Caenorhabditis elegans: one gene and its partner. The protein of the gene in region 1 interacts with the protein of each later gene in a biochemical or structural test. Each region holds a gene or a part of one and is shown in the gene's direction. Other genes may lie near its edges. The genes, in order: nlp-23 and frpr-16.

The links.
Region 2: the proteins of nlp-23 (region 1) and frpr-16 interact in a test that uses a peptide from one of them, tested with the Caenorhabditis elegans proteins (one large-scale study listed by BioGRID).

Annotation. Positions count from the first base shown.
Region 1 is NC_003284.9:2,341,596-2,344,649, reverse strand, and holds nlp-23 (Neuropeptide-Like Protein), read left to right. Parts: upstream 1-1,690; 5' UTR 1,691-1,711; coding exon 1,712-1,786; intron 1,787-1,853; coding exon 1,854-2,192; 3' UTR 2,193-2,259; downstream 2,260-3,054. Other genes in the region: nlp-2 (Neuropeptide-Like Protein), read left to right, coding at 1-54, 112-293, 348-591; nlp-22 (Neuropeptide-Like Protein), read left to right, coding at 2,586-2,669.
Region 2 is NC_003280.10:6,028,665-6,032,795, reverse strand, and holds frpr-16 (G-protein coupled receptors family 1 profile domain-containing protein), read left to right. Parts: upstream 1-1,589; 5' UTR 1,590-1,613; coding exon 1,614-1,736; intron 1,737-1,783; coding exon 1,784-1,875; intron 1,876-1,931; coding exon 1,932-2,088; intron 2,089-2,135; coding exon 2,136-2,239; intron 2,240-2,446; coding exon 2,447-2,762; intron 2,763-2,811; coding exon 2,812-2,936; intron 2,937-3,080; coding exon 3,081-3,186; 3' UTR 3,187-3,305; downstream 3,306-4,131.

The DNA of each region.
Region 1 (3,054 bases):
GCAGTTTATTCTGAAGCAGTTCCGCTTCAGGTCTATCGTCCTGACGAATCATCGGTTAGTGGATCTTTGCCAGTAGCATCTGTACTGGTTTCTACTTTGAAAGTTTTTCAGGCTGTCGATGTGGTTGTCCTTGAGAACTCTCCCGAACTGTACGACTCTGAAGATGAAGATGAATGGAAACAAGAGGAAGAGTTCACTGAAGGAGCAATGGGCAAACGAAGCATTGCTCTCGGACGAAGCGGATTCCGCCCTGGAAAACGGAGCATGGACAACTTTCACACTGTGGATGTTAGGTAACTTTGAAGCCTCGTTTGGCTTGTGCAAAACAAAACCTGCTGATTTTCCAGTGATCTCATCATGAAACGATCAATGGCAATGGGAAGATTGGGACTGCGTCCGGGCAAGCGTTCAATGGCCTACGGCAGACAAGGATTCCGGCCGGGAAAGAGATCCATGGCATATGGACGGCAAGGATTCCGGCCAGGAAAGCGCTCAATGGCCTACGGTCGTCAAGGATTCCGGCCAGGAAAGAGAAGCAATGACATGAAGGAGGTCTTCCCACAACACGTTCCAGAAATCTATATAATCTAGAGAACCTGCTCCGACTAATTTGAATCGATCTCTTTGTAATATTCACCGTCATCATCACTGATACTTTATGTACAAACACAGCCAGATTACCGGAATGAAATCGTGTTCTGTTTTTTAGAGTTTTTTAGAGCCCAGTTTCAGAGAGTAATGGTTCGGAAAGAAGTTTCAGACAGGGTGAATATGAATCACAAACTATTTTGATCGGGGATTTTATGCAATATAAAGTCAGATTTACTAATATAACATGTAGGTCAGTTCAAAAAATTTTGTTGAAATCAATTTGTTGAGCCATGTGTCCACTACCAGTGTGCCAAGTTTGAAGGCACGTATGGGTCCGATTAAAATTTGCTCTTTTTCTTTTAGCCTTCCAAAAAATTGTCTCCATACAATTGAATAAATTCTATATGTAATCGCACTGACAATATTGAAACCTTTTTTTTTTCAAAAATTTTCAAAAATTCAAAAAATGCAAAAACTCACTGCCTACTGTTATTCAAAACTGTACTAAATGTATGCCGGTTCGCAATTTTTTTTTGTGTAAGCTGAATTAAAAAATTCTCAGAGGGGTACCCTGTTGTTTTGATCGATGTTCAGCTCATTATGGAAACGTTTTTTTTTCTAGTTGGAAAAACATCAGTGACGTGGGATAGTATCATCTTCAGCTCGTCGTCAGTAAATTGTTAAGAAAAAAAATATTTTGAAGGGAAATCAGATTGTCCAATTCCAAAATTAAATTATAATTAGCCGCCTATAAAACCCAAATCTGTGGCAATTTTTCCGCAGTTCTTCCAGGCTTTTCCGCATTTGACCTTTTTATCACTGATGAGGAGGTATTGGAATTTTGAATGTATGTACCCAAAATGTGCTCAGATGAGCAAATTTCTAAACTTCTCAAAAAAAATTGTTTTTAGTTCCTAGATACACCTATAGTCGTTGTATTCTATTGTAGAAGTGTAGTCCCTTTACGAAATCGTTAAAAAACTCGTAAAAATCCGATCCTCCAAAATATCGTAGTGTCAGTTTTCCGGACTACAAGACCACGTTTTCTTAATAGGTGCTATAAAAAGAAAGACGAGCAGAAGGATGTCCTCAGTCCCACCTGATATCACTTTCAAAGTCAATGGCAGCTCACCTCGTCATTTGGATGGCACTTCTTGGAGTCTCAGCTCATGCTTTGGAGCTGGGTTTTTACTCGGTGAGCTCATATGAACTGAGCTACTTATTTTATCATTTTATGTAATTGTAGCAAATGAACATTTCAGGAACATCCAACGTCTAAAGATGATTCCTACGAATCCCAACTTTTAGATTCTAATGACCTAGACCAAGATGATGCTGTCGACTTGGCGACCCCTATGATTGTTATCCCAAACGACGAAGATGAGATCTATGCCGATGAAGAACCGGAGCCACTAACTATGGAGAAGCGTCTTTATATCAGTCGTCAAGGATTCCGGCCAGCAAAGCGATCAATGGCAATTGGCAGAGCTGGAATGCGCCCAGGGAAGCGTGCATTTGCAGCTGGATGGAACCGCGGAAAGCGATCAATGCCATTTGCAGAGAGCTATTATCCTCTTTACCGCAATGATTTCTCGGAGTAAATAATTTTTGGAATTTCTACAAACATTAATTTTTACTTGTGAATCAAATAAAGTATCTGTATGAAATGATAGCAAAGACATGAGTAATCATCACTGATCACTAGAATAAGGAACTTTTATCATTCTAATTTGAAACCCACGTTTCCAGAGAACAAATCATTGTGGGTGTAAAGCAGTAGTTTTTGTGCAATTTTTCGCATGTTACTTTATGAGTTCACAAAACCGAGAGCAACGTTTTCCAAAAAAAACATTCACCGGTTCCGGTCGTTTAACCGTTTTGCTCCGCCTTAGATGTAACAGAGCAAAAAGCATATAAATTCTGGCCGATCGAGTTGTGCTCACTATACCCCCGTTTTTTATTCTTTTTTATTCTCGAACTTTCCCAACTCGGAAATGCGTTCCATAATCGTCTTCATCGGATTGACGATCTTCGCGTTGGACATTCTTCTGGTCCAGACCTCAGCTCTTGGGCTTCAGGTTAGCTTTACACAATGTTAAAGGAAAAGGGTACCGATCAAATTGTGTTTACGACGGTTCAAATTTTCGAAAAAAGACCTAGATGTGTTTGTTTGTAAATTAGCCTTAAATCCCCAAAAATTTTTTTTTTTTATTATTGACTCAATTTGCACATTTACATCGTTTTTTTAAGTTTAAAATTTCAAGCGGATAGGCAACCAATAGGTTACAAAATTTCAATTTCCGTCCGAATTAGGCCATTTTTATGCGAAAATTTTGAACCGCCACAAAAAAATATTGAAAAACTTTCGCGAAAGTTTATTAAAAAATTCATTCATTTGAGGATATTTTGAAAGTATAAGTTCAAAAATTCCCAAAATCGAGTTCCTTCAAATGGCAACAAGCA
Region 2 (4,131 bases), on another chromosome or scaffold:
CAAGAAACTTCGTACCAATTTTTAAATCCACCCTTCCCATTTTTCCGATAACTCTTTTCGGAATCCTGCTCAATATTTCCTTATGTGACAGCTCTTCTCGTCTACAATTCCCCCAACGCATTCACTTCAGGAAACACGTCAATGTTCAAATTTTTCTTTTTGAAAGATTCATGTACTGCATTCCCCTTCTTCTTCATCAATTTTCTTCCTCGTTGCCACATGTGTTATCTTTTTACGAGCTGAAAATGAAAACGACACAAAAAAAGAAAAATAAGTATTTAGCAGAAACCTCCATGTCTTTTTTCTCTCTTTTTTCAAACATTTCAACTGTCAAAACTAACACTAAGATCCGTGAGAGAAAAAACAATGCGTCTTTTAGTGGAGAGCTCAAAAGTTCAAATTATCTCATTGAGTTCTATGAGAATCAACATTTTCCACGCCTGATTCTATTCAATAGTTTGATGTCAACAGATTTGTATAAGCCCTGAACGGCATACGTTCAGGATATATAAATCTTTTCAATCAAATTATGATCTCATTATTTCTCTTTTTTCAATACACATTCCGCTGTCCAGAAGCATTTTCTATATAACTATTAAACTCTACGATGTTTTTTCTTCGAATAAATTTTCAGTGTTTTTGAAGTGATTCTTTGACACGATTCTTGATCCCAACACGAGCTAGTTTTACACGACTTATTGTACCAATTTCAAGAGTTAGGTTAAGCTTCAATAAAATACAATTTTTTCGGAAAAAACCTAAATAAATTCTCCTTCCGGGAACTCTTTTCTGTATTTCTCACAATTTTTGCAACTGTGTTAAGCTCCCATCACTTAAGTGGTACTCGAGTAGAACAAAAGCATAACATAGTTACTTTAAGACCACATTGAAAAAATTATGGCTAGAACTATTATGAAAGGTTATTTCACTGGACTGCCTGTAAATAAATTAACGATGAATCTTAACAAATGCCGTTTCTTGATAAACGTTTTCGAATGGAAGTTTGCATTGTGCTCAGTTGGTACTAAATTATGTAGAGTGAATGTGAGTAAAGTATATATAAAACCCTAAAGTTCAATAAAGTTTCAATGGTGAAATCATTCGAAACTTCCACCTGAGTCATGATTGAATTGAATAAACAAATTATCGTAGTTTCAAATTATTAGATTATTAAAATCAATTCTCCATTCCCAATTTCCTTATAAAAGTCACCCCCGTACATATTCCATAAAGAAAATTGAAATTATAATTTCAAAACATTATTTTATTGAAATACCGTATTTCAAATTTCTAAAATATTCTGAACTTTTGTGCAGTCGTTTGAATATTCAATGCATCGTCATTTTTTGTTCCAAATTGAATCCTTATTCTGCTCAATTTTCTATTGGTCTCCTGGTCGTCTTCTAAGTACAAAAAGTTTCACCTTCTTCTTCTCCTTTTTCCACAACTCACACCTCTTGTGGATCCATGAATAAAATAAATTATCCCCTCCCTCAGCTGCCCATTTTCTAAAGCGCTATCCGTTTTTTCTTCGGTTTTTTCTTTCATTTCCGTTTCCACCCACCCAAACTTTCTTCCTTTTCTTACAGAATCTTCACACTTTTGAACACATTATGAATCGGTACGAGTTCTACGAGCTAAAATCATGGATGTATTTACCTGTAATTTTCATTGGACTTCTTGGAAACTTTGCATCATTTTTAGTTTATCGAACAGCGCCGATGAGAAAATCTACAGTAATCTAATTTCAAAGTTTTACAGAAAATTCAAAAAATTCTTTCAGGTTGGCACTCTTCTTCTTATTCTCTCACTCATTGACATTCTGCTGCTCATCCTGATAACTCCCATTTTTGTTCTTGTTTTTCTGCCACTCTGGTGAGTTTATTGAAAGTCTCTCGGGAATGTTTTTCACATCAAACATCAGATTTCAGGCAGGACCAATGGCAAAAATATTCGTTTCATATGAGCTTCTTTGCTTACAGTACACGATATGTTTATCCATTATGTATGATGACAAAATCATGTAGTTTATATCTAATGGTACTTATAACCATTGAACGATGGATTGCTGTATGTAGACCACTTCAGGTAAATTCTAAATTTTAAGTCTTGAATTTAAATTTGTATATTTTCAGGCAAAAGTATTATGCACAAACAGGAATACAATGAAAGCTGGAATTTTCATTATCATATTTTCCATAGTGTTTAATTTTCCAAGATTTTTCGATTATAAAATTGGGTAAGTTTTAAATATTTTAAAGTTTTTCATAAAACATACCTGCCTGTCTATCACCTAATTTCTGTGTTGCTAAACTCTGTGCTACCTAATCGCACAGGGTAGTTTTACAAAATTTTCATTACAATTGTTAACCTGATACGTTTTTTGGACAATTAAGGAGAAAATTTATTACGACGCTCGATTATTAATCTCAAATTTGATTTGCAGAGACGGGTATCTATCTGAAATGTGGATGTTGGATACAGAGAAACACTGGTGGTACTTCATGTTCTACTTCATCATATTATCAGTAATCTTCGATTACTTCCTTCCGTTCCTTATCATGACTATCGCCAATTATCATGTCATCAGAGCACTTCAAGAAAGCGACGAGGTTATCACAGGCTTGGCCGTTCAGAAGCGAAAAGATCAGAAAACAACTGTAATGCTGCTAGTGGTAACCATTTTCTTCGCGTTCTGCCATCTATTCTCAATGTTTCTCAAAGTTGCTGAAAGTATTTTTGGAGGATTCCTTACACAAACCGTAAGTTGTAAACTCCTGAACTATTGAATAAATAATTTATAAATTTCAGAGTTTCTACTGGGAAGTGTTCGCCGAGTTCACAATCTTTTTGATAATCTTCCATACGTCAAGCACTTTCTTCATATACTACGGATTTTCGGAGAAATTTCGAACAATATTCCATGACATCATCAGGTAACTAAATAAATAAACTTCACCCTCACTTCTTCAAAGTTGCACGTTCGCAATGTGAATTATAAAAAAGAGGATTAAAAGAAGTGAGGATTTCGACAAATATCTTAGAATTCGAATTTCATTCAATTTATCAACTATTTTCAGATGTCGCCAAAGGCTGGATGATGTAAAATGCTCGACCTACTTGCCAGTTAACTCATCTGGAGCTGTTTCTGAATCAAAAACAAGAAAAGCTCCGGCAATTGTTTAATTAGAAATAGACTCTTATTTGTTTGAATACTTGTTTTCTTTTTATGTTTTAGATATCTGGTCCCGGTTTTTGTCAAACAAACAATTATGAAACGGGTGAATGAATCTGTCATATTTCCAGTTTGTATTATGAACTTGAAATAATACCAATGAAAATGAAAATAGAGTTTTGAGAACTAATAATTCACATTCTCAGCCTGAAATATTAAAAAAATAGAAAAAAATTTGGCCGAATTTACAAGAAACCAGAAAAAGATATTTTGTGAACAGCAAGCACCTCTCCAGGCATTTGAAAAATTTTGCAGGATCTGAAAGTAATTTAAACAGATTCCAAATTATGGGAACTCTCGAAATATGATTTTTAAAAATTTTTCTGTAGTTCTGTTTTTCTTTTCGAAAACCAAATTTTTATTGTTTCTTTTCTGCGTCCTACTCCTCTTTGAGAAAAAACCACACAAAAAATTCTTTGAGACCCTATCAAATGTCAGAATTTGAAGACCCACTGTGAATATATGAGGCCCCCCTATTACCATCGTTTTTACAAAAAATTCATTCTAAATTCCACGAAATGCCATTTTCCAAATATTGCCAATTTGTCACAATTGGAAGAAGAGTACAACGACAAAAGACGTCACTCTTCAAAGGTGCTTCATCCTTTTTTCCTCAATTCTTGCTCATAATCTTCTGCCTAGCTTGTTCGTTTCTGCACTCACACGTGGTCATGGAGCCGCCCCCAATGAATTGGACGGAAGAAGGTATCAATTCATCTTCAAATCATCTTATTGTTTCTTCGGAGAGCACACACACACATCTCATCATTCACCACCTGCTTCCGTCCGTGAGCACTTATCATTGTGAATTGAATGATAGTACCCACCAATCTTTAGAGACACAGACAGCCCTGAGTTGTAAATCCCAAAAATCTCATGATCCATCCCCACTATCC